Oryzias latipes: one gene and its partners. The protein of the gene in region 1 purifies or fractionates together with the protein of each later gene. This does not show direct contact. Links are inferred from orthologs where the notes say so. Each region holds a gene or a part of one and is shown in the gene's direction. Other genes may lie near its edges. The genes, in order: exoc8, exoc2, exoc3, exoc1, exoc7, exoc5 and ras-related protein Ral-B.

What was found.
Region 2: the proteins of exoc8 (region 1) and exoc2 purify together in Homo sapiens (affinity purification with mass spectrometry; 7 studies listed by BioGRID and IntAct, counting the BioPlex papers as one, with this or other methods). This does not show direct contact. The link is inferred for Oryzias latipes from reciprocal best matches to the Homo sapiens genes EXOC8 and EXOC2.
Region 3: the proteins of exoc8 (region 1) and exoc3 purify together in Homo sapiens (affinity purification with mass spectrometry; 5 studies listed by BioGRID and IntAct, counting the BioPlex papers as one, with this or other methods). This does not show direct contact. The link is inferred for Oryzias latipes from reciprocal best matches to the Homo sapiens genes EXOC8 and EXOC3.
Region 4: the proteins of exoc8 (region 1) and exoc1 purify together in Homo sapiens (affinity purification with mass spectrometry; 3 studies listed by BioGRID and IntAct, counting the BioPlex papers as one, with this or other methods). This does not show direct contact. The link is inferred for Oryzias latipes from reciprocal best matches to the Homo sapiens genes EXOC8 and EXOC1.
Region 5: the proteins of exoc8 (region 1) and exoc7 purify together in Homo sapiens (affinity purification with mass spectrometry; 4 studies listed by BioGRID and IntAct, counting the BioPlex papers as one, with this or other methods). This does not show direct contact. The link is inferred for Oryzias latipes from reciprocal best matches to the Homo sapiens genes EXOC8 and EXOC7.
Region 6: the proteins of exoc8 (region 1) and exoc5 purify together in Homo sapiens (affinity purification with mass spectrometry; 5 studies listed by BioGRID and IntAct, counting the BioPlex papers as one, with this or other methods). This does not show direct contact. The link is inferred for Oryzias latipes from reciprocal best matches to the Homo sapiens genes EXOC8 and EXOC5.
Region 7: the proteins of exoc8 (region 1) and ras-related protein Ral-B purify together in Homo sapiens (affinity purification with western blotting; 6 studies listed by BioGRID and IntAct, counting the BioPlex papers as one, with this or other methods). This does not show direct contact. The link is inferred for Oryzias latipes from reciprocal best matches to the Homo sapiens genes EXOC8 and RALB.

Annotation. Positions count from the first base shown.
Region 1 is NC_019882.2:17,525,262-17,529,962, reverse strand, and holds the start of exoc8 (exocyst complex component 8), read left to right. Parts: upstream 1-1,573; 5' UTR 1,574-1,700; coding exon 1,701-2,850; intron 2,851-4,701. Other genes in the region: sprtn (sprT-like domain-containing protein Spartan), read right to left, coding at 308-627. UniProt on the Homo sapiens protein: Component of the exocyst complex involved in the docking of exocytic vesicles with fusion sites on the plasma membrane.
Region 2 is NC_019862.2:21,227,945-21,232,193, forward strand, and holds part of exoc2 (exocyst complex component 2), read left to right. Parts: intron 1-1,638; coding exon 1,639-1,755; intron 1,756-4,035; coding exon 4,036-4,177; intron 4,178-4,249. UniProt on the Homo sapiens protein: Component of the exocyst complex involved in the docking of exocytic vesicles with fusion sites on the plasma membrane.
Region 3 is NC_019875.2:5,005,402-5,009,650, forward strand, and holds part of exoc3 (exocyst complex component 3), read left to right. Parts: intron 1-1,746; coding exon 1,747-1,959; intron 1,960-2,293; coding exon 2,294-2,472; intron 2,473-3,152; coding exon 3,153-3,269; intron 3,270-3,356; coding exon 3,357-3,474; intron 3,475-3,892; coding exon 3,893-4,018; intron 4,019-4,249. UniProt on the Homo sapiens protein: Component of the exocyst complex involved in the docking of exocytic vesicles with fusion sites on the plasma membrane.
Region 4 is NC_019862.2:97,475-101,723, reverse strand, and holds part of exoc1 (exocyst complex component 1), read left to right. Parts: coding exon 1-99; intron 100-184; coding exon 185-294; intron 295-4,249.
Region 5 is NC_019877.2:22,402,754-22,407,002, reverse strand, and holds part of exoc7 (exocyst complex component 7), read left to right. Parts: intron 1-1,951; coding exon 1,952-2,020; intron 2,021-2,198; coding exon 2,199-2,344; intron 2,345-2,938; coding exon 2,939-3,091; intron 3,092-3,168; coding exon 3,169-3,267; intron 3,268-3,346; coding exon 3,347-3,409; intron 3,410-3,482; coding exon 3,483-3,549; intron 3,550-4,249. UniProt on the Homo sapiens protein: Component of the exocyst complex involved in the docking of exocytic vesicles with fusion sites on the plasma membrane.
Region 6 is NC_019880.2:12,941,360-12,945,241, reverse strand, and holds part of exoc5 (exocyst complex component 5), read left to right. Parts: coding exon 1-192; intron 193-1,536; coding exon 1,537-1,601; intron 1,602-1,806; coding exon 1,807-1,835; intron 1,836-1,928; coding exon 1,929-2,038; intron 2,039-2,172; coding exon 2,173-2,217; intron 2,218-2,305; coding exon 2,306-2,446; intron 2,447-2,525; coding exon 2,526-2,608; intron 2,609-2,700; coding exon 2,701-2,910; intron 2,911-3,170; coding exon 3,171-3,318; intron 3,319-3,399; coding exon 3,400-3,508; intron 3,509-3,762; coding exon 3,763-3,882. UniProt on the Homo sapiens protein: Component of the exocyst complex involved in the docking of exocytic vesicles with fusion sites on the plasma membrane.
Region 7 is NC_019870.2:7,306,311-7,311,115, reverse strand, and holds the start of ras-related protein Ral-B, read left to right. Parts: upstream 1-1,396; 5' UTR 1,397-1,539; intron 1,540-2,677; exon of another isoform or gene 2,678-2,743; intron 2,744-3,154; exon of another isoform or gene 3,155-3,285; intron 3,286-4,805. UniProt on the Homo sapiens protein: Multifunctional GTPase involved in a variety of cellular processes including gene expression, cell migration, cell proliferation, oncogenic transformation and membrane trafficking.

The DNA of each region.
Region 1 (4,701 bases):
TATTTTATTATTTTATAAGCTGCTTGCACTGTGGGGCGAGAGGAAAGTAATTTAATCTGTGCTGTTAATCTGTATGTATGCTGCATACTTGACAATAAAGCTGACTTTGACTTATTGAGCTTTTTCTTCAAAATCTGTCCACTTTATTTGAGAAAAAAAAATTTTTTGCTTTCTCTAAAGCTTTTATTTCCCTGTTTCAACGTTTCCATTAAAAATCCATTGTGTTTTAGTTTTGATCTAAATCGGTGAGGTCAGTTTAGGCTCCGAAACAGCTTAAACCAAATGTCCAAAGTCAGAATAGACTCACAGGGTCATCCTGGGACTCCACTTGACCTCCACTCCGCTGAGTTTGCCCCAGAAGAACATGTCATTGAACTCCAAAAACATGGCTCTAACATCAGGGCTGGGATCCAGCATCTCCCAGGAATCATCCACGATGCTTAGCGGCCGCTCAACGCCGGAAGTTGGCTTTCTATCCCTGGCCCCACCGGCAAGCTCCACTTTCCGCTTTTTGCTGTTGTTTCCGAACTCCCCTTCGTTAAAACTTAGAGATGAAACCAGTGAAGATTCATATTCATGGTCAAACTGCTCCTGTAGCTGAACGGCGAGCAGAAAGTCCTCGTCCATCACTGCTGCTATTTTGCCATTTAGCTTTGGCTAACCCGAACTTCTAAAAACCAATCAGTGCGCCAGTTGTACTACATTTAGCAGTGTAAACTCATAAAGAAAAAAACGAATTTATGTCATCATTTTTTCGCAAAACGGACGCTTAAACATAAAAACGGAAACAATTTAATAAAAAAGAGTAAGAAGCTGGAGCCAACAACTTCCTGTCATCTTCCACAAACCTTCCGGTAATGTTTTATTTTATTTTTTTCACAATAAAACATATTAAAGTTTTTGTTCAAAGTATTTTGAATATCTAAACGTAGGCACGTATGTGTTTTCTTAGTATATTATTAATTGAAATTGAAAGCCGCGTAGCTTTTAAGGAAATTGTTTTTGCATCAATGCAATTTTACTCTGTCTTTTGGTCTAACCTGCTGTCAAGTTCCGCGAAGTCCCGTACGTGATTGTTTTTCAAATTAAAAAAATGAGTTATTAAAGGCGTTTTGGTCCCAAATATGGTTACTTAATCATTTTTGTCTATTATAATGATATGTTTTAAAATTAATTGTCTAAACTAAAACACTGTGATATATATATAACATGGGCACTTTTTTATGCTCAGTATATCAATATATATAGTAAAAAGAAAAATTCAATAGTTTAATTTGGGTAGCTTTGACGGTGATCTTTTTTTTATAATTCAATGTAATTATTTTGTATGCTTTGGTTACCACTTCCGGTAAAGATTGCAAGCATCGCTAGCACAAATATTAGCGATGGGTTCTGGGAACTTTAGTAAACATATATCTGATATTTAAATTAAATTATTCAATTGTTACAATTGAATAAAGTTTACGAATCATAATCAAAAATTTATATTATCTTATGCCTAAAGATAATCAAATAATTTTTTTACGATTTTATTTTTAAACTTTTTCTGATCACGTGACGTTCGGGTGTTGCTGCTTACAGCTTCCTGTTGGAGTGAAAGCGGATGTAAAAGGAGCTTCGATGCACTCGTCTTGTTCGTACATTTCATAGCCATTTTACTAATATTTCGCGTTCGTAAATAATTGCAAACACAGCTAAAGATGTCGGAAACAGGGAACCGGCTGCGGAAACTTCTCGAATCTCCCAATTTCGATCCGCAAACGTACGTCAAACAGCTGTCACAGCAGTCCGACGGCGACAGGGATCTGCAGGAGCATCGGCAAAAAATCCAAAACCTGGCCGACGAAACGGCCCAGAATTTGAAGAAAAATGTCTATAAGAACTACAGGCAGTTCATTGAAACCGCCAAAGAGATTTCCTACCTGGAGAGCGAGATGTACCAGCTGAGCCACATCCTGACGGAGCAGAAGAGCATCATGGAGAGCATCACCCAGGCCTTGCTGTCCACAGACAAGGATGAGACCTCCAAGGAGATGCAGGCTGCTTTCCCCAAAGAGACGGAGGAGGTGAAGCAGAGGGCGCTCACCTCTCTGCTGGAGAAAGTCGAAGGAGCCAAGAACATCATGGACATCCCGGGGAGGCACCTAGTCTACAACGGAGACCTTTTTGAGTTTGACGTGGACAACATGTCCCCCATCCAGAAGGTCCATGCTTTCCTCATGAACGACTGTCTGCTGATCGCCACCTGGCTGCCCAACCGCAGAGGCACCGTGAAGTACAAATACAGCGACCTGTACGACCTGGAGAGCTTCGCCGTGGTCAACGTCAAGGACAATCCCCCCATGAAGGACATGTTCAAGATCCTCATGTTCCCGGACAGCCGCATCTTCCAGGCAGAGAACAGCAAGGTCAAGAAGGAGTGGCTGGAGATCCTTGATGAAACCAAAAAGAACAAGGTGTCTAAGGACAGACACAAGAAGGAAGAGGAGGCTCCCACGTCCCCCATCAGATCTGAGGTGTCCACCAACCCTTTCGACCTGGAGGACGAGGACCCAGCAGATGCAGAGGAAAGCGCAGAACTTGGTATCGAGTGGATTCAGGAGCTCCCCGAGGACCTGGACGTGTGCATTGCCCAGAGGGACTTTGAGGGAGCCGTGGACCTGCTGGACAAACTGAACGAGTACCTGAAGGACCAGCCCTCCACTCAGAAGGTCAAGGAGTTGAGGTCCAAGGTGGACGAGCGGGTGCGACAGCTGACTGAGGTGCTGGTGTTCGAGCTGTCTCCGGATCGGTCACTCCGTGGTGGACCTAAAGCGACCCGACGTGCCGTGTCCCAGCTCATCAGACTAGGTCCTGGTTTGGTTCTTTTCTTAATTTCCAGAGAAACAGAGAAGAGATGATGTTTGACTAACTTCCAAAACATTTTCTTTAGTCCGTTAAAGCCAAAAAAAAGGCAACATTTTTAATTCAAACTTTTATTTAGGAGCATCAATGTCGTTTGTTTTGCAAAAAAAAAAAAAAGTGTTCAAAGCCCACTCTTCTGGATCTGTCAGGCGGGGAAGTGATGTTGAAAAAAAGTTTCTTTTAATTTAATTTTAGGTTTTGAAGGTCAACATTTTAAGGGACCAACCAGTGTAATCCTGCTTTACTCCTGTTTGGGGTAATGGGGTCACTGGAGCTAAACCAACAACTCTTCAGTGAAGGCGGGGTTCGCCCTGGACAGTTCGCCTTCCATCACAGGGCCACACAGAGACAAACAAGTTCACACATTCACACCTAAAGGTCAATTCAGAGTCACTAAAGCTTTAGCCACATGGACCTGTACGGGGGCTGACCTGTACAGGTGCCCTGGGTTTTTGGGTTGTCCAGGTCTGTGGAGGGGAGTAGAAAGTAGACCGGCCAGTTTAAGGCGCATCTTAACAGGAGCACAGGTGTGTCTTGCAGTTCCCTTGAAAATGGAACCTACCATTGTGTATGGTAAGCATATTGTGAAGTATTTGTAAGGCTAACATAAGTTACACGCACTGATAACATACGGGTGATGTTGCCGAACACCGCCCAAACTGCCACACTGTAGTCGTTATTAACCCTTGTGCTATCCAAGGCACTTTAACATTGGGAGTTGGGTCATCTAGACCCACTAGACAGTTCGCTGAACCTTTTTTCTTCAATGATTTGTGATCTTCACTGGTGTCCATGGATTACATGAAATCTTTCCACCTTTATCCACCTTTGTCATGGTAGGGAGAACATGTCAATGTAAGGGTGGGGTCATCTAAGACAGCACAAGGGTTAATGAGTGAGTACTGGTTCCTTACTGACTCCAAGCAAATGCTGACATGTAAGTGTCCGTAGGACAGGACACTCACACAAACTACACCATTATCATCAAATTTCTAATGCTACGTTAACACCAGGCTTGGAAATGCGTGTTTGAGTGACCACTTTCAATGAAAATTCTATGTAAGTGCTCACGTAAAAGCCCGTTTTGGGCCTCCGCGTTCAAAGCTCTCTCGTTGACGCGTCTCTACGCAGGTTTTTAGGTCAGTTTTCAGGCTCTACGTACAAAACACGCAATCGAACGTGTGCTGAAAGTTTAACTAGTTGTACTTTGACCAATCAAGGACTCTGATTTGGTAGTGAGGTATGAGTAGCATCCTTTTCAAAACACTGAATCTTGGAGGTGAAATACTAATTGCGGTTTGTGCCCGGCCAAAATTCTATGACACCAAGGCCTTCCTTTATCAAAATAGAGCTGTGAAAGAAAAAGCCTGGAGCAAGATTGGCACCGCTTCAACATTTCGCAGGAAGCATCTTATAACTGTGCGCTACTATCGGGTAGCGACAGTCCAGTATGAGCACGTATGCTGAAAGTGCGTTCAAGAACCCGCGTTCAGCGCCATGCATGCCCAGTGTGGAGTTAGCATAACAGTCAGGCTACACAGAAGGAGTGCGCACTTATCACTTGAACAGCACCGTGCGCAGGATTTGGGGGGGTAAAGAAAACTATAAAATACGTAGAACATGGCTGCGTCTCACCTACTTCACCCTTCCTTTCCCTTATGTTGTATAAGTATTCATTACCACCTGTTGCCTGCAGCATTCCCAAAGACAAAATGTGCAAGAGCACTTGGCTGTACAGCCCCACACAGGTTTGCCTATTTTTCTACCACAGGGCAGTTGTGTCCAAGGCTTTACCAC
Region 2 (4,249 bases), on another chromosome or scaffold:
TTGTTGGTACCCCTCAGTTAAAGAAAGAAAGTCCACAATGCTCATTGAAATGACTTGAAACATTCAAAAGTAACAATAAATCCAGAGTGGACTTCATGGGAGGTGACCAAGGAGGACACCACTGTTGAAAGGAAATCATAAAAAAGCCAGACTGGAATTTGAAAAAATGCATGTTGACAAGCCACAAAGCTTCTGGGAAAATGTCCTTTGGACAGATGAGACCAAACTGGAGCTTTTTGGTAAGGCACATCAGCTCTATGTTGGTAGACTCAAAAATGAAGCATACAACGAAAAGAACACTGTCCCTACTGTGAAACATGGAGGAGGCTCAGTTCTGTTTTGGGGCTGCTTTGCTGCATCTGGCACAGGGTGTCTTGAAGTTGTGCAAGGTAAAATGAAATCTTAAGATTATCAAGGCATTCTGGATAGAAATGTGCTGCCTAGTGTCAGAAAGCTTGGTCTCAGTCGCAGGTCATGGGTCTTCCAACAGGACAACTATCCAAAACACACAGCCAAAAACCCCCAAGAAAAGCTAAGAGAAAAGCGTTGGACTATTCTGAAGTGGCCTTCTATGAGCCCAGATCTGAATCCCATTGAACATCTGTGGAAGGAGCTGAAACATTCCATTTGGAGAAGACACCCGTCAAACCTGGGACAACTGGAGCAGTTTGCTCATGAGGAGTGGGCCAAAATACCTGTGGACAGGAGCAGAAGGCTCATTGACAAATACAAAAACTGTTTAATTGCAGTGATTGACTCAAAAGGTTGTGCAACAAAATATTAAGTTACGGGTGCCATCATTTTTGTCCAGCCCTATTTCATTAGTTTAAACAAAAAAAGAATTCTGTTAATCAACAACTCAAAAGTAATGGCTGATTTTGATTATCAAATTTTCAATAAATTTTAATTTATTGTTACTTTTGAACATTTCAAGTCATTTCAGTGAGCATCGTGGACTTTCTTTCTTTAACTGAGGGGTACCAACAATTTTGTCCATCACTGTACATCTATTTTAGGTGTGGTTCAAATACACGCATAGGGATGTTATTTTATATTCTCTAATACAGTCAATGGTCCACCCCTGCTTACCCCATCCTTACCCCTGAAAAAGGAGGGATTGAAATAGACTTTATCACTTATTTTCATCCCCCCCCCCTCATCTCAGAGGTCTTTTAATTATTTTATGCCATTTTTAGGCAAAGTCTAAAAACCTGTGTTAGTTTCTAGGACATAGTTTCTGTAGAGCAGCAGTCGTTCATTAGAAACTCTCCTCTGAGTTGTGGGTGGGACCGTTGGCGTGAACCAAACCCCTTCCCTCCCGGTGGCTGAGAGCTTTAAGCAGGGAGCGTTTGGCGTATTTTCTACAGCTAAAAAAGCTAATTTTCAAACTTCATTTTTTTTTCTGTTCCTGATTCGCAACGATTTGAATAAAGAAATACTGAGAAATGCAATTAATTTCTTTATATACATGTCCTCCATCTTTAGAAAAATGCCACAGACACATGTTAAAATACCAAAACACCATTTTCTGCAAACTAGGTCTTCAAAAACATGTGATTATTTAACAAAACGAGTTTGTGCTGGAACAAGGTCTTGGGCTTAAATTACAATCTAACTTTTCCTTTCTTTTATGAACAGGAGCAGCGTTTGCTGATCATTCTGAGCAACTGCCAGTACCTGGAGAGACGCACCTTCCTGAACTTGGCGGATCACTTTGAAAAGCACGGCTTCACGGGAACAGAGAAGATCACGCGGGTCAGTACCTGCTGCTGTGACCTGCAGCTGTTACACTCCTATTGAGGAGAAGTGTGGAGGCGTCATGAGAAGAAAACAAACTACAACAACTAAACTGATCTGTGTGTTTTTTTTCGTTTCTCAGCAAAGGGATGACTAATGAAAAGAAAAAGTCACACTTTTCACCTCTGTTCTCAACATAGTCACACTGCTGCACACAATGACTAATGGCTGAATCACAAAGCTAAGAAGGGTTTGATCTGTTGATTTTCCTGTAAAAACTCACTTTATTTGAAAGATTAAGTTAAAAGTTTGAATTAGACCCGAAAGCATGATGCCTATGATAATTTGTCTAGACTGCTGAGCTGTGCTGCTCCACATTAAACACATTTAACGGTAAACAAGAAAAAGAAGAAAGTATTGAAGGGTTGTACCACTGCTGCACATGCTGCCTTTACAGCATTATTAATAGGAGCTGGTGTCAGAGCAGCATAAATAATGCTAGCAGCTGCTCACAAACACACCATGTGACCAGTTCAGATTGTGCTAACTTATGTAGTGTGCTAAGTTGGTTCTTTTACTCTTTGTCTCAGTCTGGTTTCTTTGCAGTGTTACTCCAATGTCAGATTGAAGGATATACAAGATTTTAAAAAAATCCATCTTGATGCCTGAAAAATTAATTTAGGAGGGTTTAGACCTATTATTTATAAATAAAAATTGGGGGGGGGGGGGGTCTATTTCAATTAAGCCTCAGTTCAAACCATTGACTATATTTGAGAACTGGACTGAGTGACTCCTCCCCCCTTGCATTCCAAACAGGAAGTACCTGCTGGTTCCAAGAAGCTAGACTTTTTCAGAGAAATAAACGGCTATTGCTCAATCATTCCATTTGTAGGAATAACCGTTCTTACTCTGCTACATTTTTTGCTAATCCTCTTTATTTACCATTATTATTATTCTTTATTTCAAGTTATTCAAGTATATTCACTGAACAATCAGATGCCTCAATGAAGGTATGCGTTTTAAGTCAATTGTTTGAAAAGTTTGATTGACAGATTCTACCAAGACCACTTTCAAAAGATAGGGGTGTGACCTTTCAACAAGCTTACTCCTGGTTGGCAAGAGTGGTCGCCATAGAAACGATGACTCAAACTGATTTGGACCAATCACTGCTTACTTACGATTTCTGGCTCCAACATGGCAACATCTACATTGCGAAAAAATGGCGACTGAATTGACTTCATTTGGTTGGAGCCAGAACAAAGTCAGTCCAGTTCTCCTTTATAGTCAATGGCGTAAGCCAACTCTTTCATAATATTTAATTCCATCTCTCTTCCAGCCAAGAATTAAGCTGATGGCAAAGAAAAAAATAGTCGATCATAGTATTAAACCTTTTTTCTTTTCTTTTTGAAAATCTTTGTGTTTCTCCACACTGCAGAACAACACAAAGAGGAAAAAAGATTCATAATAACACATTTCAATTTTTCTGCTTTAGGTTATGCTTATGGATGTGTTTAAGACCCAGGTCTGGATGTCACTTTGCTCCTCAGCCAAGCATGTCAAAGGATAGTAAACATTAGATCCGTTCAAACAGAATCTCTCTGGAATGAAAGCATAAGTACTGCATTCTGCTGCTCTAAAAGTGCAGGAATGGATCCAATGTTAAACGGACATTTAGCACACATTTGTTTGTTTGTACATTTGTTCACACTGGACTGTCACTACCCATACTAGCGCATGTGCCTAAAGTTGGAAGAGGCTTGGTTCGAAATGTCAAAGCCCTGCAAACCTTATGAATCTTGCTACAATTCTCACAGTTCTATTCTGAGATATGAAAGACTTGCTGTCATAGAATAACGGCTGAGCCCAACGTGCAGCTGTTAATTTCTCTTCCACGATCAATTTTCAAACGTTGGGCACTTCCGTCAATTAAAGGGATGCCATCCATGCGTCACTACCAAATCAGAGTCTCTGATTGGTCAAAGATCAAACTTGTTTAACTTTCAACATGCTTTTGATGACAGCATGTTTTGTACATGGAGCCTAAAAACAGTCCTAAAATTGTGCGTAGCGACACATGAATGCTAAAGTGTTGAACACAGATGCCCTAACGCACATATATGTGCGTTTACAAAGACTTTTCAATGGAAGTGATCTCTTGAACGTGTTGCAGATGGCGATGTAAGCAGCTTAATCCACTTTTTATTCTTTTTAATTTCTTTTTTACTTTCCACTTACAAGGTCATGTCCAAAGAAATAGATGACAGCAGCCATCTTTCTCTTTCCCTCCTCGTCCTCCAGGTGAGCATGGACGCCATCCGAGAGCTGGACCGGAAACTCTTTGAAGCTTACATCGAGCGGCGTGCCGACCCCATCGCCGGCTCCCTAGAGCCTGGAATCTACGCTGGATACTTTGACTGGAGGGACTGCCAGACGCCGTCAGGTATCACCTGATGAATGCCAGGAGCCGCGTTTGAGACCATGAGGGAAACCCCCACCATCACCACTCATTGAC
Region 3 (4,249 bases), on another chromosome or scaffold:
TCTCCCTTGGAATACACCCCATCATCTGTGACTGGCTCCTGGACTTTTTGACTGGCAGGCCTCAGTCTGTCAGAATAGGGAACAGGACTTCAGCCAGCATCATCACAAACATCGGCACACCACAGGGCTGTGTTCTCAGCCCCATCCTCTACACCCTGTTCACCCACGACTGTGCGGCCTCTCATAAGGACAACATCATCCTGAAGTTCGCTGATGACACCGCTGTGATAGGACGCATCACTGGCGGGGATGAAGCAGCCTACAGGAGGGAGGTGGCCAGTCTGGTGACATGGTGTGAGGACAACAACCTCACCCTCAACACAGACAAGACAAAGGAGATGATAGTGGACATGAGGAAGGAGAGAAGGAACCCTCATCAGCCGCTTCTTATCCGGGGTCTGGAAGTGGAGAGGGTGAGCAGCTTCAAATATCTGGGGGTCCACCTCAGCCAGGACCTCACCTGGGCACTAAACACATCACAGCTGGTGAAGAAAGCTCATCAGCGGCTGTACTTTCTGAGGAGGCTGAGGAGGTTCGGCATGTCCCCAAAGATCCTCAGTAACTTCTACAGCTGCATGGTTGAGTCCATTCTAACCAGCTGCATCACAGTGTGGTATGGCAGCTCTACCGCCGTGGACCGCAAACGCCTGCAGAGAGTAGTGAAGACTGCGTCCAAGATCACCAGGACTCCTCTGCCCTCGCTGCAGAGCATATACAAACGCAGGGTCTGCAGGAGAGCTGCCTCCATTGTCAAGGACCCCACCCACCCGCAACGAGGACTGTTCACTCTCCTCCCCTCAGGACGGAGGTACAGGAGTGTGAAGTGTAGGACCACCAGACTCAAAAACTCTTTCTTTCCCTCTGCCATCAGACTCCTTAACAGCTGACAGGAGTCTGAAACAACAACTGCACCTTTGCACATCCCCACTGTCCGCTACTGTTATTGTCACTTTTGCACTTTAGTATTGCCACCCGACATCTTGTGTTTTGTGCGTATGTTGTGTTTGAATTTTTCTTTTTCTTTTTTTTTTTTTCTTCTTCTTCAGTTTCCTCTCCTTTTGGCATTCGGAGCAGGCAGCAAAGAAAGAATCTCATTGTACAGGGAAACCCGTTTCTTTATTGTGCATATGATAATAAACCTCTTTGAATCTCTTTGAATATTAAATAGCAGCGGGCCCAGAATTGATCCTTGTGGAACACCACAACTTATCCCTTTGGCTTCTGATGTAAATTCATCAATCTTCACAAATTGTTTTCTTCCCGTTAAATAGCTTTTCACCAAGTTAGTGCTAGTCATCTTATCCCATACCCTTCCAGTTTGTCAAGTAGGATTTCTTGATTGAGAGTCAAATGCTTTTTTAAAGTCAATGTCTGTGCTGCATATTTCTTTTTGTCCAGAACATCTGTGATTTCCTCCACGCATCCATGATAGTCAATGAGACTGATCTGTTTTCTCTAAAACCATATTGGTTTTCATTTATAATGTGATGGTGATGTTTATCAAAAACTACAACTAATTCATCATTAAAAAATTTTTCTAAAATTGTTGAGAATTGTGGGAGGAGAGACACAGGTCTATAGTTGTAAATGGGTGTTTGTCTCCACTCTTAAGCACAAGTTTGTTTGACTTAAGCTGGCTTCTCCCATGAATGAAGCTATCATTCATTCGATTGTTCAGATACTTATCAGGACATAAACTGTTTTAGCTGTTAACTGAACTGCCACCTGTCTTTGTGCTTCTTCAAGGTTCAATCGCTGTCAGATGAGCTGGCCAAGCAGTTATGGATGGTTCTGCAGAGGTCCATGGTCACAGTTCGCCGTGACCCCACCATGCTGGTGTCGGTTATTCGCATCATTGAGCGGGAGGAGAAGATTGATCGGCGAATGGTTGACCGAAGGAAACAGACCGGATTCATCCCACCTGGGAGACCCAAACACTGGAAGGACAAGATGTTTCAGGTCAGAGGAGCAGCCAGACCAGCGGTCCTTCATCAAAGCTCAGCAGAATTGAATTCTTTTACATGTTTAAGAAGTTCTTCCCTTTAATCTGGGCCTCGCCTGTCTGATGATCATCAGGTCCAACAGTCGCGTCGTAGTTCTGTTAGAACTCTGGGAACATCTCGTGTTAGGATGAAGTGTGCTCTGTTTTCAGTGTTGGATTTTCTATAAGAACCTGATACGGAATCAAACCAAAATAGAATTGGTAATGGTGCAGTAAATGAGTTCACGCGGTCTCACAGGCTTCAACTCAAACAACAGGAAAGCTAGAACCTGCAACCTCTTTGCTCTGCAGGTTCTGGAGCACACCGTCAGCACTCGCATCGAGGGCACGCAGTCCGTGACCAGGGAGGCGGACAAGATGTGGCTGGTTCGCCTACTGGAGATAACCAGGAAGTACGTGGTGGATGACCTCATCATTGTCAAAAACCTCATGGTGCAGTGCTTCCCCCCTCACTACAACACCTTCAACAGGTAACAGGTCCAACACATTGACTGTATAATACATAACTGTGATGTCAGCCACGGAAAATACCTTGCTTCTGGTTCCAACCATTTGAAGTCAATTGAGTCGCTATTTTTCCGCGATGTGTCCATCGCCATGTTGGAAGCAGACGTCCTCAATAAGGCCATGATTGGTCCGTCTACATTTCCATGGCAACTACTCTTTCTAATCAGGAGTGAGTATGTTAGCAGGCCACACCCCTTCCACTGGAAGCAGGTTCGGGAGACTTTTATTGATTGGCATCTGATTGACCAGTTTATAACTTGAATAATGCATATTTCTGTATAGAAGTCTGTGGGATTTTGGCTTCTTGGAAACAGCAGGTACTTCCTGTTTGGAATGGCAGGGAGAGGAGTCTCTCAATCCAGTTCTCATTTACTGTCAATGGTTTACATCATCTTTTCTGCCCGAAGCCATCTTTTAAAGTAAAATATTGATGCACAAATGCCAGTTAGGGTTTGAACCGTAAAAGTGGTTGCAGCTGAACGCTTCTTTCTTTTCATTTGAAAATTCCTGGAGTGTTTTGAGACTCTGGAGTGTCCCATCACCGATCAGTGCTCTCTTGACTGTTCTTGAGAAGCTCTGACTGCGGGAGCGCTCGTGTTCCTCAGCAATGTCCTGCAATCAGGAAGGTTTCTTCTGGTTTCAGATTCTTTAGCCTCTACCACGCTGCTGTGTCTGCTCGAGTCAAAGAACTGGCCTCTGAGGACCTGGAGGCCAATGAGATTGTATCGCTGCTCACCTGGGTTTTGAACACCTATAAGAGGTTTGTTTATCCATCCATCCATCCATCCATCCATCCAGCCACACATGGAGGAGACATGTTCAGACAAAGGGTGGCTCTGTGTTTCAGCGCGGAGATGATGGGGCATCCAGATCTGTTTTCAGAGTGTGACATCAACCAGTTGGAGCCTCTGCTACCAAAGGAGGTTGTGGACCACCTGCTGAGTAAATACATCCAGACCTTCACAGTAAGCATTGAGCGGTGCAGAGATCTTGTTTCTAACAGGGCTGAAGGCTGATTGAAAAAATGCATGAACACAGACACTGAACTCACCACAAGATGAATGTATAGCCAAGATGGGCTTTTGGGGCCCCGCCCCCTTGAGTCATAATTACATAAGATTCTGTTTGTGGGTGTCACTGTTTCAGATCCAGTCTGTCTCTGTGACTCTCGGTTAAGAGAAAACTGAAATAAAATGTTCCCTGCATTTGTCGCTCGAGTGGTGTTTTCCCTCTGAGCAGCAGCTCTGCAGGCCAACCCAACCCTGCAGGTTAACACGTGCATGTGCACAACCGCGACCTCACTAACTCACCCAAACTCTGGTTTGCTGGTTGCTGATGGCTTCCAAACGGGATGCTGACGTGACTGTGGGTTTGTGCCTGCAGCTGAATATAACCGGGTGGCTACGGAAGGCTCTGGAAACGGACAAGAAGGACTGGCACAAAGACAGCGAGCCCGAGGCTGACCAGGACGGGTACTACCAGACCACTCTGCCCGCCATCGTCTTTCAGGTACGGCGCAGTCATCGCCAAAGTCTGTGATCTCGCAGGCCTGGTTGGTGGTTTGCTGGTTCTGGTCTGCAAGGTTTACTATTGGGGATCTGTTAAGTTGGGCCAACCAGATTTATATTTAGATAAACACATTTTTTAATTAAAACTAAACTTAATTTGTTTGTTTGGGGTTTTCATTGAGTTCTGGTCTGGACATCCAGGACGTCTGCTCTCATACAAACATCTGTGCAG
Region 4 (4,249 bases), on another chromosome or scaffold:
CTCTGCAGGATGGGGACCTCACCTCCTCTAAAGGAATTGAGGCCTGCATCAACGCCTCTGAAGCCCTTCTGCAGTGCATGAATGTTGCCCTCCGACCAGGTAAATTTACATGAAGCCTTGTTATCGTGATCGTCTGTTTTTTGTCTTCGTTTGAATGGAAAGTTGTGCACCTTTCTCTGTTCAGGCCATGAAAAGCTGTTGTCTGTGAAACAACAGCAGCAGATGTTTACCGATCTGAGGGACACATTTGCCCGCCGCCTCACCAATCACCTCAACAACGTGTTTGTCCACCAGGTAACACACTCGCCATTATTAGAACTTCTTTACCAGTACTTCTGCTGAGGTTTACAAAAAAAGGAAGAATACAGTCAGAGACATCTAAAAGCTGCTATGAGATGTGGATTTAATGTTGTATTTCCATGTAAAAAAAATTCAAGTACGAACTTTTCTTTTTAAAATAATCATGGAGGAAATACTTTTTTGATACCTTGCTGATTTTGAAGGTTTGCTTACTTAAAAATAGACAGCCTGTCATCCTAATGATAGGTTCATTTGAACAGTGAGAAATTGAAAATGTCTTTAATGAATTAATATGCATTTATTTGCATTTCACTGAGGGAAATAAGTACGGTATTTGATGCCCAAGTAACCATTAAGAGTTCTGTTTCGCACAGACCAATTAGATTCGCTTAATCAACCTGTTACCTGAATTGAAGACGCCTGTCCACAGAATCAGTCCATTAGTCAGACTCCAAACTCTCCAACATGGGAAACACTAAAGAGCTTTCAGTGGATTAAAGGGCGACGATTGTACTCTTGCACAAGACCAGAATGATTTGCAGAACCATCAGCAAGAAGCTGGGGGTTAAGGTGACAACTGCAATTGGTATAAAATACATGAACATGACCATCAATCCACCTACAGTCAGGACCATAAATATGTTGACATAGATGTGAAAAACTAAAGCATTTTCTAAACACAATCCCTTCATTTCATGGGCTGGTAAGTAATTGGACAAATTAAATAACTGAACAACAAAATGGTCATTACTCACTTCCCATGAGTCTTGGGGGCTTAAGGTGGGGCTATCCCTCAGGTCGCCACACTGTGTTGTAGATTGAGGATGTACAGTGAGGTCAATAAGTATTTGATCACCCTGTGATTTAGCAAGTTCTCCCTCTTAGAAAACATGGAGGGGTCTAAAATTTTCATCATAGGTGCATTTCCACAGTGAGAGACAGAATCTGAAGAAACATTCAGAAATCACGTTGTATGATTTTTTTTTAAACGATTTATTTGTATATTACTGTGAAAAATAAGTATTTGATCACTTGATTATCAGATAGATTTCTGATCAGCAAAGACCTGCTGTTCTGCTTTTAAATAGTCCAACTCCACTCTGCTCATGATTCTAAATTAGTGGCACCTGTTTGAGGTGGTTAGCTTGCATAAAGGCACCTGTGCCCCCCCCCACAATCAGTCAGAAGTCTAACTATCAACATGGGCAAAACCAAAGAGCTGTCATAAGACGCAAGAGATAAAATTGTAGACCTTCATAAAGCTGGAAGTGGCTACGGGGCAATTGCCAAGCAGCTTGGTGAGAAAAGAACAACTGTTGGAGCAATTGTCAGAAAATGGAAGAGGCTAATGATGACTGTCAATGTCCCTCGGACTGGGGCCCCTTGCAAGATCTCACCTTGTGGGGTATCGATGATGCTAAGGAAGGGGAAGAATCAGCCCAGGACTACACAGGAGGAGCTGGTCAATGACCTGAAGAGAGGTGGGACCACCGTTTCCAAGGCTACTATAAGTAATACATTAAAACGTCATGGTTTAAAATCATGTATCGCATGGAAGGTTCCCCTGCTGAAGTCAGCCCATGTCAAGCCCCGTCTGAAGTTTGCCAATGACCATCTTGATGATCCAGAGGAGTCATGGGAGAAAGTCTTGTGGTCAGTAAGAAGCCTTGTAAGAAGCATATCAAAATAGAACTTTTTGGTCTTAACTCCATTCGGCGTGTTTGGAGGAGAAAGGAGGAGCATCATCCCAAGAACACTATACCTACAGTGAAGCACGGGGGTGGAAGTATCATCTGCACAGGGGACAGGACGACTGCACTGTGTGAAGGAGAGGATGAACTGGGCTCTGTATTGTGAGATATTGAGAAAAAAGCTCCTTACCTCAGTCAGAGCGTTGTAGATGGGTCATGGCTGGGTCTTTCAGAATGACAATGACCCGAAGCACACAGCCAAGAAAACCAAGGAGTGGCTCCGTAAGAAGCATATTAAGGTTCTGGAGTGGCTTAGCCAGTCTCCAGACCTAAATCCAATAGAGAACCTTTGGAGGGAGCTGAAACTCCGTGTTGCTCTGCGACAGCCCCGAACCCTGACAGATCTAGAGAAGATCTGTGTGGAGGAGTGGGCCAAAATCCCTGCTGCAGTGTGTAGAAACCTAGTGAAGAACTACAGGAACCGTTTGACCTCTGTAATTGTTAACAAAGGCTTCTGTACCAAATATTAAAGTTGTTTAACCCAAGTGATCAAATACTTATTTGTCACAGTAATGTACAAATAAATTGTTTAAAAAAATTGTACAACATGATTTCTGAATGTTTTTTCAGATTCTGTCTCTCACTGTGGAAATGCACCTATGATAAAAATTTTAGACCCCTCCATGTTTTCTGGGAGAACGTGGGAGAACTTTCTAAATCACAGGGTAATCAAATACTTATTGACCTCACTGTATATGTGCTGAAACCGCGTGCATGTTTAAAAAAGAGGAGGGAGCTGCAACGGAAGGAGGGGAGAACGGGAGAGCAGCTCCTATCTCCTTCCGCGGCAGCAATATGGTAGTAAAGGGGCTGGTTAATAAAACATACCAGTAAAAGAGAGCAGTAGTGACTTTAAAGCGCCCCTATCAGCGCGGCATGCGCTAGAAGTTTCCTTCCACAACAGTGTCACACCGTTGCTCCGCGGACGCCTCTGCGCTCCGCCCTTGCCCCGCGGGCTCCTTGTCTTTCCCTTCCTATCTTCTCCGACACCCCTCGCGAGGGGGGCACCAGGGAAGAGCACTTCGTGCCCCCTGACGTCCAGTCCCTGCACGCGGGGCGCGGCTGCTGGTGGACGGAGCGAACCGTGTCTCTGAGCAGCGCAGCCGGACTTAATTTTTTGTGTTCGAGGGGCGGGGAGGATGCTTTGTTACGGGAGGGAGGCTACAGACTGCCATCTGTCCCGCAGCACTATGTGAACGAGCAGCCGAATTCAGGAGAACCACGTCTCCATCTCACACAGCGGCTTTTTGGCAGTGTGTGAGCTCTTCAAAGCAAAATGCCGCTCAGTCCTTAGAAACCGTTCAAACACGTGGATTTGTGTTTCTAGTCGTGTCCTGACAAAAGAAAGGCTTATGTTATTCCCACATATTTACGTTCAGCCAAGCTGCAGATTGTGGCATTTCCTGCATCAATTTTATGTTCATCCAGGCTAAATGTTGTTGTTAGCGCATGTTAGCCTTCACCTAACCATTCTTCCGGTTTCGTTCTGCCGCAAAAAAGCACTGACCACACGGATAAAAAATAAAATGATGAGCTAACAGGCGCTTCATAATAACCATAACAATAATATAAGCATGCGGTGGGGGGGTTCATATTACACCTGAGCCGGGGGTGTTCGTGTCCCTGGGGGGTGGGTCCTGGTCCTTGCCCCTGGGCGCTGGGCCCCGCCAAACTTCCAACATGGCCGAGCCTGGTCGGGCCATATTTATAACATCCCTTGTGGGCCGCCCTTTTTTCCCCGGGGTTCCCCCCTCCTGGGCGGGGGCGGCGGGCCCCTGCCTTGCTCCTACCTGGACCAACCGTGGGCCGGGTGGGTGGCTGCCTGGAGTGCGGAGCGGGTCTCCCTTGGGGGGTCCTGGCTCGTACCTGGGGTCGGGGCGGGGGGATGCCCGGAACTCCTGGGTGGTGGTGGGGTGCTCGTCTGGGGCTGTGGGCGTCCCTCTCCGGTGGGGCCCTGCGTTGGGCTCTTCCGGCGCGGCGGGGGGCTGCTTTCCTGGCTGGGCTGGGGCGGCGCTCTCTTTCCCTCTGCGCCTCCCTGCTCTCTGGCTCTGGGGGCCTCGCGGCGGTCCTGCTGGCCCTGGCCTGGGTGGCGGTCTTGGTCGCCCGGGGGGCGGTTGTTCCCTGCCTGTTCCCGTGTGGCATTGGGGGAATTCCGGCTGCCGCTGCTGCTGCGGCGGGGGTCTGGGTGTGGGGGTGGC
Region 5 (4,249 bases), on another chromosome or scaffold:
TGACTTTGGTCTGCAATGTTCATTATAGAAACATTTTGACACAATGTGAATACAGAATCCAGAAAGCACAATGTTTGAGTTTCTTTGTATAATAGAGCAGAAAATAAATGTTCAGTCACTGAGAAAAGTTCATCTCAGTACTTTGTAATGTGGTTCCAATGACAGAGGTCAAAGGTTTGGAACCGATAGACTTTTTGTAACTGTCAGTAGCAGTTCCATTGTGGGTGGTTCATCAGGGAAATAGTAAAAAAAAGTTGAAAAAAACATTATATAGTAAGAAACAGCACAAGGCTGGCTCCTGTTCCCCACAAGGTTTCCTGAAGATTTTCAGACGATCTGAACTGTAGTTGCTAATTTGGTCCATTCTTCCATGCAGATCTTCTCTAGAGCTGTGCTGTTTTTGGGGCTGTTGCTGGGCAACCACTCCCTCCACAGATTCTCCATGGATTGAGGTCCAGGGACCGTTGGAACACTCTAGAACCCTGAAATCCTTTAGACACTCTTTACTTTGCTGGGTGATCTTTGGGGGATTCTTTTAGTAATGCTGGAAGATCCAGACATGTTCCATCCCTGATGTTCTCCCTATTGGAAGGAGGTTTTTGTCCAAAATCTCCCCATACGTGACCCAATTCCCCTTTTGCTTCATACGGATCAGGCCGGTCGTTGACCGGCTCCCCCTGTAGTTCTGGACTGTGTACAAACTTGTCCCTGGTGTCCTCAGACAGCTCCTTGGTGGAGAGGTCTGCCTGTATAAGGGTGTGGACAGGTGTCTTTTCTACAGGTAACCAGTTCAAACAGGTGACATGAACACAGGTAACCAGTGGAGGATAGAAGAGCTTCTTAAAGAAGGAGGAACGGGTCTGTGAGGAACTGAATCCTTGCTGGCTTCTAGATGAATCCTTATTTTCTGCTCCATTATACAATCATTATTTAAAGATCAGACATTGTGATTTCCTGCATTCTTTCTTTACATTTTGTCTCTCACATTAAAGTGTTTCTATGATGAACATCTCAGACCAAACTCAGCTTTTTAGAGGGACGACCTGAGGAATCTGTGGCTGACAAATATGTTTTTGCTTCACTGCTTTAAAGCAAACATTTGTCTTCAGGCGTTTTTAACACAAACCTCACTTGAAGTCAATTGGCTCTGCTAAAAAAATTTCTTTTAATAAAGTTCAAACGGATTTTTTATTTTAGTTGACCCGGCTTTGAATATTAGGTTGTCTAAAAATGCAAAATAAATGCATTTACACCAACAATGTTAAGTTCAATTATTCCAATGTAATTCAGTCTCCACTCCGTCCTTTGCCCCCACAAAGACATGTTTTTAGAAAACCTACAGATTAACCAGCAATCCCATCAGTAATGAAATTAAAAGGTTTGATATGATGAAGATAAAGTCAAAAGTGGCACAAGCACCCAAATCTGACCTCTTACTTCTTTAAAATGTCTTTTTTGATTGATTCATTTATGCATCAATTCAATTCAAGTTTATTTGTAGAGCCCAAATTCAAACAACAGTCGTCTCAATGGGCTTCGCACCGGTAGACCATGAACACATGAGACCTTTCTCCCATTAATAGCTTTCAATCAAGTCGGGTCGGGAAGTTATCAGGAAAGAAGAATTCATTTTCTGCTTAAACTCCCATCCAACTGATAAACTGGTGTCAGACGTGGGGTTTTCCCATTTTCCCATCAGGAAATCTGTCAAAAGCTGCAATGAATCCAAAGCTGTTGTGACATTTGAAGCTGGTTTTTGTCCCACAGTTTAACATGTAGACTGGTTCAGAACCAGTTTACATTTCACTCATCTTGGGTGGGCACGCCCTGCCTTTTCTCTCTGGTGCTTGGTGGTGGGCGGTTCAGGTCAGGTTTGTCCCCTCTCCCCCCTCTTAGCCTAGTCTTGACCTCGTTTTGACTAGTCTCCCTGCTGGCCCGCCCCACCCACCAGGTTACGATCATGACCCACGGGTCAAACACATCACTGAGGCCCTGACTGAGAAGCATGGGGCTGCCCCAGGTGAGTGACGAATTCCAGAAGTTCAGAGGTTGATCAGAGAGGCAACCTCAGCTCAGTTTCTTCCTTTAACAATCAAGTTCTTATAAAGTAAGAAGTTAAACTCCGGGCTGAAGTTGTTGTTTAGATCCTTGTCTTATGTTTTGTCAGCTGACGGGAGCTCTTGTTATGCAACTCTTAGGGAAAGACGATGTTCTTGACATCGAGATCGACTCCTACATCCACTGCATCAGTGCCTTTGTGAAGCTGGCTCAGAGCGAGTACGCCCTGCTGACCGAGATCATCCCTGAACACCACCAGAAGAAGACCTTTGACTCCCTCATCCAGGTCAGAGGAGTCAAACCAGGGAGCTTTCATTGAGGATTTCCCAGACAATTTGGTTTTAGGGGTTAGACGTAGTGACACAAAAGTATTCAACAATCCTTTTATCTGTAATCACCGGGCAGAAGTACAGCATCAGATATGCAGGAAGGGCTCTTGAGGATTTAATCAGGTGCTGCTGTTGAAAGTAAAGCTTCTGTAGAACATCCACCTGAGGTTCCAGGTGTTGGTCATTTGCTAAAGGTTTCCCTACCATCTACAGTAATGAAACTCCACAGTCAAGAAAAAATAAACCAAAGCAACAATCAAATTTGAAACCTCATTCTCCTCTGATTGCTGACATCAACCATCCAGTTTTTTTCCTTTTTTAGGTCATTCTCTGTTTGTTGGTTGAGTGTCCAGTAGATGAGCAGTTGACGCTAAAAACTCTTTAGTCACTCTTACTGTTTTTCTTCACCGTATCTGACCATTGATACCATAGATTACCATAGACACGGACACCTTTTATCTGGCTGAAAGGATTTTAATGATTAAAAGCAGGACATTTTTCCCTAAGCCACATTCTGGTTGCATGCTCAGTTTCATCATGTCTGTCCACAGGAAGCATTGGACAACCTGATGCTGGAAGGAGACAACATTGTGTCTGCAGCTCGCAGGGCCATCATGCGCCACGACTACTCGGCGGTGCTCACCATCTTCCCCATCCTCAGACATCTGAAGATGAACAAGTCAGACTTTGACTCCACACTTCAGGTTGGGTCTGCGGCGTCTCATTTCTGGAAGAAGCTGGTCTTGGGGTGTTTAGCGACTGTACTTGATTTGACGTGCAGGGAACGGCGGCGAGCACCAAGAACAAACTGCCAACGCTCATCACGTCCATGGAGACGATTGGAGCCAAAGCACTGGAAGAGTTTGCAGACAGCATTAAGGCATGCGGCTCCCACTTAAACCACCCCTTGTCTATTGGCTGCTGGTCATTTACATGGGTTTTCTCTCCACTAACTACAGAATGATCCTGATAAAGAGTACAACATGCCCAAAGATGGAACAGTGCATGAGCTCACCAGCAACGTAAGCTTGGTTTCTGCTCTGCACTGCCTCTCCGGTTATTTGCCGCTTGTTTGAGCTCTCTGTCTCCGTTCAGGCCATTCTGTTCCTGCAGCAGCTGCTGGACTTCCACGAGACTGCAGGAGCCATGCTGGCATCTCAAGGTTTGCTCCTTTGTGTAGCTCTGCAGACGTCCACCCACCACCTGTCTGTCTGAAAACATCATGGCAGATACACAAACACGAGCACCCAAAGGGAATTCAAATTTCAAGTCAGTGCCAGGCATCCATTTCTTCCTTTCCAGCCTGCTCATGTCAAGAATTTGATAGATTTTAGCTACAGTGGGGGACAGGAGAGAGAAATATTGAACAGGAAGACAGTTCCTGCCAAATGACAGAGGAGAATGGCGAGAATCTGCCTGGAATTTTGCAAACCAATAGAAACAAACCTGGAGACACAGAGATAAGTGCAGAATCTCATATTAGCTGGAGAACGAACCATCTCAGTTTCTCCTTTTACCGTAAGGTTCAGCTTTTTTGTGTTGAGTAGCCACTGCTTTTTAAGCCAATAAGACAGTAAAATGAATGGTGCGCGCCGATCGACGAGCATATATTGAGGAGCTTGCTGAGGAGGCAGAAAGAGCTACAACCCGAGGAGAACAAGGCCAGCTGTACAGAATTAGTCGACAAGTATGTGGAAAACACCACTCTACTGTCAGCTTACCAATTAAAGATAAACAGGGGAAGCTTCTCACAACAGAAGCAGAACAAGATACCCGCTGGGCTGAACATTTTCAGGAAGTTTTGAACAGAGATCCACCAACAGAAGGAGCAGATATTCCAGAAGGAAAGACAGACCTAGACA
Region 6 (3,882 bases), on another chromosome or scaffold:
GCCTTTCAGCATTTCCAAGAACTCGATGAACACATAAGCTACGTTGCCACCAAGGTTTGTCACCTAGGTGACCAGCTGGAGGGGGTGAATACTCCTCGCCAGAGGGCCGTGGAAGCTCAGCGTCTCATGACTTACTTTAACGAGTTTTTGGATGGAGATCTGCGTAGCGATGTTTTCAATGACCCAGACAAGGTGAGATTATCGTCTAGTTTCTTTTTTTTTTTTTTTTTTGCTGTCATATATGAAGAGGTATGTGTGGGTGTGAAACCACTGATGAGGGGCCCTGCTGGGAAACTGCTGTAGGTGAGTTTGAACAGGATTATGAGTTGAACCATCCATGGAAATTTATAAAGTTTATCCCTTTAGTTGGATCCCTCAGTTAATTTGGATTAATAAACTGTCATTTGCTGTCTGACAATAGCCGGCTGACTGACTAGCATGGATGTCAACACGCTCATGTCAAACCTAATTGCATGTAAAGTGGGATGACTGGGATCAAGAATTTGATTGGTCAGCTTTGCAACACACAGAAAGTTTGTTGCAACACATTTTTTTAGTCATGGAAAAAATGATTCAATGTTTTCTCAGAACAAGTGACCCCAGAGAGTTTGATTCTGCAAAGTAGACACATTGGGGTTTTTTTTGGGTTTTATGTGTGTTTGATGCAACATCTCAACCAGATGCAGAGAGGGAGGTTTGAGGGTCAATCCCACAGACGAGAGCTTGAGATTGAGCCATGCATGCAGATGTATCAAGCCAGATTCCTTTTTCCTGAGCATACCTCCATATGAGGAGGAAAGAGAAAAACTGCAAGTGAATAGCTGAAGGGGAATGGCTTTGCTAATCCTTCTGAAAGGGAGGGCTGGGCCGCCAGCGTGGAGACAAGTGCTGCTAAACCCTGACTGCAGGGAGACGGCTACATTACTTACATGGGATTTAGCTAATCTTAGCTGGGGGACAGATACTTAGAAAACCTTCGCCGAGCAGAAAGGCTGGATCCTCCTCACGGGAGCAGAGTAATGATGTTAGCTGAGACAGGCATCTGCAGGAACAGAGGAGTTGCGGACAGCGGACCTTTTGCGGGTCTGGAGGTTTTTTCGCCAGCATGTATGTCAGGAGAGGTGGAGAGGGCGGGGTGGAGGGGTATCTCGGCAGGGCCCCCTTTTTTTTAGACAGATATCCCTGGCCGGACAGATTATTGAAGGCAATTCAGACTCCTGTGGGATTACAGCCCATTCAGGAAAAAGCCATCCCAATAAAGACTTGGATGTGCTGCTAAGTCAGGACTGCTGCTGTTGCTGCTGCTGATGCCCAGGTGAGCGCAGCCTGTCTGTTATCAGCTCCCTGTTAAACACAGGAAGGTGGAGGAAGGCTGCTCTAAGATGATGATCCCCCAAGTGGAGACACTGCCGGCGGCCGCCCACTTGATAATGGATGTCCACCTCTAATGGCTTTGTTGTGCTCCCTCTCTCCTCCTCCCTCAGCTGGCATCTCCCTCGCTCCCTCTCAAACACACACTTGTTCCCTCTCTTTCAGATTAAGGAAGCTGCTGATATAATTCAGAAGCTGCATCTCATTGCCCAGGAGCTGCCATTTGACAGGTGAGTCAGGCATCCTGGAGGCAGCTTTAGACAAGAGCGCTGTCAAACAAGAAGGAGGAGGTGTATTAGTCTATTCCTGAAAAGTGTAAGCCCCACAGAAACATTAAGCATTAGATGGTATTATTGACTAAGATGCCCCCAAAGAAACTTTCCTTCTGTTTTTTTTATATCTATTGTTTCTAATTGCGCACTTTATCTGTAACAGATTTGCAGATGTCAAAGCAAAAATTGCAAGTAAGTTTCTGACCGGGTCGATCGTCCTCCATTTTTACTACGATGTAACACGCGTTTGCGACATTTTAAGGTTCTGTTTTCATTCCTGCCCAGGCAAATACCACGACCTGGAGAGGCAGTTAATCCAGGAGTTTACTGCAGCCCAGCGCAGGGGTGAGATTGGTCGTATGCGGGAGGTTGCAGCAGTTCTATTACATTTCAAGGTGACCTGGAAAAGACATCTGAAGACACGTTGACTGAGTGTTGGAGTCATAGCCTGTCTGAAAACATCAACTTTGAATGTTATAGTCATTTTCTTGGACTATCAAGGTGGTAACGCCTGTGTTTGTCTAAATAGGGTTATGCACACTGCGTGGACGTCTACATCAAGCAGTGTCAGGAAGTGAGTACTTCAAGTTTGGCAAGAAAAAAGTCTGCCTTTGACTTGGCTGCTTTAATTGACCCATTTTTTGTTGTTGTTCCTGTCTCAGGGTGCCTACACGAGGAACGATGTGTTTGAAGACACCGCAGCGCTTTGCCAGAGGGTCAACAAGCAGGTGGCCGAGGTCTTCAGCAGTCCAGAGACAGTCATGGCTAAACTCATCCAGAATATCTTTGAAAACAAACTACAGGTATGTTTTCCAGTGATTGAGTTTGGATGTGCCATTACTTAAACATTTGTTGATTTTTGGCTGGCTGTTTATTTTACAGGCGCACGTTAGAGAGAAACTGGATGGAACTCGACAGTCTGATGCAGAACAGTACCTCAAAAACCTCTATGACCTTTACACCAGGTGGTTTTGCTTGTCTTTTTCTAATTTACTTCCTGTATGCTCTATAACTCTAACACTTTTTGTTCTTATCTGTTTCTTTTCTGACCTTTCAGGACCACAGCATTGGCTACCAAGCTAACAGAGTTCAACCTTGGTTCAGACAAGCATACGTTCCTTTCCAAGCTGATAAAAAGCATCTTTTCCTCTTATTTGGAAAGTTACATTGACATGGAAAGGGAATACCTTCGTAATCGAGGTGCCATGATTCTGCAACGATACTATGACTCAAAGAATCACCAGAAACGTGCAATAGGCTCTGGCAGGTACGATTTAGCATAAACGTCATGAAGCATTTCAGAATCAGAAATACTTTATTGATCCCATACGTGGGAAATTTGTTCGTTACCATAACAACTGACAGGAGAAAAGACTAAGAATAATATAATTAATAATATAATTTAAAAAAAAAACAAGAACAAGGAAAATGTGGTATCATTTAAAGAGCCATTTTTGGTCTCAAATAAACGTTAGGGTTTCATACAAAAAGATCAAAATGCTAAACGTTTTTTTGTTTTTACTTTAGTATTCAGGAGCTCAAGGAGCGCATCAGACAGCGCACCAACCTTCCACTGGGCCCCAGCCTTGACACCCATGGAGAGACCTTCCTGTCCCCCGAGCTGGTTGTTAATCTGCTGCAGGAGACTCGGCACGCGTTTGAGAGGTGTCACAGGGTGAGCCTCTTCTCCTTCTGTAACGTGAAGGAACATGTATAAACGCAGACTTTGGTGATTTTTTGTTTTGTTTTATTACAGCTTTCAGATCCATCTGATCTGCCTAAAAATGCCTACTCCATCTTCCTACTGCTGGTTGAACATCTGTGTGTGGACCACATCGACTACGCTCTGGAGATTGGCCTTTCAGGTACTTCTGATGAACCAAATTGTACTCTTAAACTGCTTTCTGAGGGCTCATTCTTCTCACTATTAGGAGCTTCAAAGCAGTAGATTCAGGAAGTTGGGACATTAAATAAAGCATAACCTGAGGATCTCCCACAATAATGAAGAGCTAGAAACATTTTAGAGCTAGAATCTCTTTTTCACTAGCCGATAAGCATTAACATTTAATGATCAATATAGCTTAAGTTTGCGTTTGCTGCATTTTTCCTAAATTTTCAGCGATTCCCTCATCCGATGCCAAGAATGCCAACCTGTACTTCCTGGATGTTGTTCAACAGGCAAACTCCATCTTCCACTTGTTTGACAAGCAGTTTAATGACCAGCTGATGCCTCTTATAA
Region 7 (4,805 bases), on another chromosome or scaffold:
TCAAACGGTTTCTGTGACTTTCAGGACAGAAAATGAGATCTGACCTTGACGTAACAAACCCAAATGGAACATGACGTTTAGAAGAAAATCCCCTCCTGGTGAAAATTCTCTCACATGATGTAGTTTGATTTACAGCCAGAGTTTACAAAAAGAGGTCATTTTGTGATGTTCTGGCACCACCTGGTGGAGAAGACGGTTATTGCACCTTCAAAATCATTGACCTGAACCACTTCACCAGACCCAAACAGCTTTGGTTGTTAAGTGTATTGTTTGACCTTATCAGTTGTGATTTACGTTAGTGCTGTCATACACAGCACTAACGTTTTGTTTTAAAGGATTAATTACTGATTACCTGTTTGTAATCTGACCTAATAACTGCTGAGGTATTTTTATTTACATTTGTGACATTGTGGTGCAGTAAAAGATCCAAATAGTTTAAAAAGTGACAGTGGACAGTAAACTACATTTGATTTACGAAAAACAAAAATAAAAAGGTATTTGCAAGTCCTTTTTTTTATTTATTTATTATTTTTGAGCACAATACAAAACAACACCAGAACATTTACATAAAATTCCCAAAATATGGTGGATACAAGAAAGCATAACGCAATTTGAGAGGAAGCAAAAAAGAAAATTCTTATCAGTATGCATACATAAACCTATCCATATTCATAATCATAGAGAAATTAGGGAAAAGTATAACATAAGAAAACAACAATTTCAGAGTTGGATAGTGTTACAAAATGCAGGGGAATACAACAGATAAATAAATTGTCTCAGATACTGGGAATATCACGCAAGGTGTCATAAACTGTTATGGCTTTAGGTGAATCGATTAACGTTATGGATTGTAAGTATAAATTGACCTCATTGGTAAAGAAAGTAAAGCTGGGATGACATTTCTGTAACCTATTTTTGTGTATAAAAAACTTGGCTAAGCATAACGCAGTGTTGATACATACATTATTTACATTGTTGTGTAGTGACAGGCCAAAGATTGTTACTTCTTTCGAAAAGAAGTCCATGATGAATGGGAATTTATTTTTTAACCATTTGCAAACATCCAACCAGAACACTTGTACAACACCACACAGGAAAAATGTGTGGTCGATGTCTTCAACAGCAGTTTGGCAGAAGGAACAGCTGTTGTCATCAATGTTGAAACGTAATCTAAGTAATTCTTTGGAGGGATAAATATCATTCATAATTTTGAAGTGTGTTTCTTTAACTTTTGGGGAAATATGAAGTTTCATGAAAGCGGTTCTTTATTTAGTAACATTTTGTTCAAATTTCTGCAGTATATTGTTTTTGTTCTGTCGTCCAGGAAAAAAACCTTTCAGGTATTTGCAAGTCCAGTTATTTTTCCTCCAACGGAAATCTGTCCTGACGTCACTTCCTGCCGTTCGGTCTGAATTGACTTCCGGAAGGCGGGGACTGCTGCTGGCAGCAGTTTTGTAGCTCCGATGCTTCTGTCAGTCACAGGGAAGCAGCCGGGAGGAGAGCATCTTCTGAAGGCTGAAAGTACAACGTGTTTTTTCGGTAAGACATGTTCAAACGGATTGGAAGAGGTGAAGCAGCTTTGTGTTTCTGGGTTTATGGACATGTAAAGAAAGAAGCGTCGCGTGATGTTAAAGGGGAGGGAAGGTGGCTGACAGAGAGATGACCGCCCCAGAGAGACAGACAGAGCCGTAACTACTCAGGTTTTTATGTGTTCATTGCTATTTGTTCTCATCTGTCTGTTGGTTTCAAATAAATTAGTTTAAAGTTCGGTTATCCATCAGTTTTGTGGTTTTGAGCGGACTGGCTCAGTCGTTCCCGTTAGTTCCCTGGCTGCGCGGCCGTTGCTAGGCAATAACGGGTTTAAGTCCGGGTCTACCGCTAGCTTTACTGCTGTCGTTCCGCTTCTGTCTGTTAATGTTTACGGGAGTTCTGGATAATATTCTCTGACCGAACAGCTTATGATATTCAGATGGGAGGACATGCCATCATGTTGCCGTTTGAATGTCAAAACTAAAACCTATTTCTGGTCAGATAACAAGCCAATACTAGTCTATAAAAAACACCGACCGGCAGGTGTTTTCTAGATCCACCACCTTTCATGCATTTGATTATTAGCAGACTTGAAAATCAGATGCAAATAAAAGTTGCTGAATCTATTTTCTGTGCGAATACATAAAAGTGAGCTGTATGTTTGCAGATGACAGTGTTGTGTGTCAGACTGAAGGACTCTGTTGGCAAAGCAAAACACACCTTTCCCAGTCTGAGGAACACTCCCATCAATAGGAATCCCTTAAAATGTATTTTAAATGTTCCAGCAGGGATATGAACTGCCAGTGTTCAATTGCACACGGACGCCCCCGTGCCCCCCTCCCCTTCGTCATAAACGACTCCTTCAGACAATGCTGATCCCAGCACATTCCCAGCAGAGTCAGGAAAACCAGGACCTTACTCAGCTTTTTTCCAGTCCCTTTGCAAAACCTTAAAGATACTTTGAACTGTTTTTGACACATGCCCATCACAGAAGACTATACTTTAGTGTAACTAACTTTTTTCAATTAGAAAAACAACTAATGCAAAACACTTTGCATGTAGATCATCTCAATTAGCAAGTAGTTTCAAAGGCTCATGTTGCATTTGGTCATATTTCTAATCATCTTGTTTTATTTCCAATCGTCAGATGTAACCAGATTGTAAAAAGATAAGAATCATTTTTTCTGGATCCACTCTGCAGTCCTCGCCACAGGTCAGCAATAATGTGTTTTATTGTGTTAATTTAACTTTTCAAAGCTTTTCGATTTTTATCGCCTTCATCTCTTTTGCTTGATTTTAAGCTTTTTGTATAAAACGTAATCATCTTTAATTTTTTTTTTTGAAGAAGCTCTAAATCATTGAAAAAAAAGTATTTAGTGTGTATTTGTGTTTCTAAAGAATCATCTGGCAAGAAGTTTTGTCGTGGATAAAGAAAACTTATTACACATAAGCAGAAAAATTATATAATCCAGTTTTTCAAATCTAATTTTAAATATTTTTACTGCAAGAATGAGAATGTTAAAAGTCGTTTTCAGGTCTTTACTTCTCAGACATCAGTTGGAAATATCTAGTCCAGCTGAGAAACGTTGAAACTTTGAGCCATAACATCTTCATCTTCCCACAGTTCCTCACTCCTTCTACCCTTTTACTGACATGTTCACACACCGGCTCTCTGAAGATGCTGTTTGGTGCTCCAGTCAAGGACAGCGTTGAAAACACTGATGTTTCTCACGCACTGATGGCAAAAACGGAAAGGTTAGCTTTCACGAAACAACCCGCTATCCTAGTATTTTATAAATAGACACCAGTGTTTAGCTGTAAACACAGAAGTTGACCTTCAGCCCTCTCAGGTCTTTCAGGCCCAAATAGAAAATGTTTCCTCTGGAGCGTTGTTCGCGTTTGCTGACTGGTTAACTGAAGGCATTGCAGGACCTAGGCTCTGTCCCAATTCCCACCCTAACCCCTAACTGCTAAAAAACTTTATAGTGCAGCAGAATCTAGTGCCGTGAATTTTAAAAGCAATTCGGACACCATGCTCACTACTTTTCTTTTTTTTTTAAACGGCGGATATGACGTCATCAAATTCACATTGTTAAAATTGTATTAATATGAGCAATTTATCAATCCACTGTTTTCTGAAGATAAAAATGGTTTATTAAAAAAATACATTTAACTACATTTTTGGGCGTAAATTGTTCCAACGCAATGGATTGTGGTCTATATTCGCCAATCTAGTGAGCATTGATGCACACTAGTTTTTCGCAGAGACTTCTGGGAAATTTTTAGGGCATTTTGGAATCGCATTCGGACAGCACCACAAAATGTCGACGGCACTATACAGGGCACTATGTAGGGAGTAGTGAAGGAATTCGGACACAACCCTGATAAAGAAGGAATGCAGCTTCTGTCCTGTCAGTTAGTGAACGGAGCGATTCTCCTAGCAGAAGTCAAAAGGTTTGTGTCCAACCCGATGCTGAAACGCGAGCGCCTCCCTGCTTGTTCTGGATCCTTGATTGCTGAGGCAGATGTGTTTGGACACCACGGTCCTGTTCGGCTTCAGAGGGAGAGCCAGCTGTCTGATGTGAACGCAGAAGCCATTTCTGCACACATTCTGAATCCTGACCCCCCCCCACACCAAACACATCTGATGCTGAAGTTGAGGGATTTGAACAAACGGGGTTTAGGTCTCATTGCCCAGTTTAGTCAAAGGCGTCTCTGTGTGCTGCTGCTGCCGGGGCTTGTTAGTATTCGTCGTGCGATGCTTTTTGAAAATGTTTTCTTTGCTGCTGCGTGGCGTCCTCTTAAGAATAGTAAATCGTTTCCTGATCTCCATAGGCTGTGGCTGTTGTAGATGCTGGATCCCAAAGACCAAACACATTTCTGCTCGGCCCCGGGAGGGATTTGCTGTTAAATTATGTATTGTTTGTTGTGTTGCGATAAACAAACCGCAGAGAGTCTCATATCCCAGTCTTGTGCCACAGAAGTCTTAGTTTTAAATTTACCGCATGGCTGAGTTGATTCAACCACGTTTGTGGTTTATTGTTTAAGCCACACTCAGCAGAAGGATGCATTCTTTCTTCTTCACACGTTCAGAGAAACAATATTGTTGGATGGAAAGTGAATAGGACTGTTCTGATGTGCAGCTGGGAATTTTCCAAATCCCCTCAGCCTTACCTTGAACTTGAAAAAGGAAACTGGAAGATGTGTGCCTCTGTGGTATGACTGCAAATGTCTGCTGCTTTAAAAACATACACTTGCATGTTGGTGGTCACGGA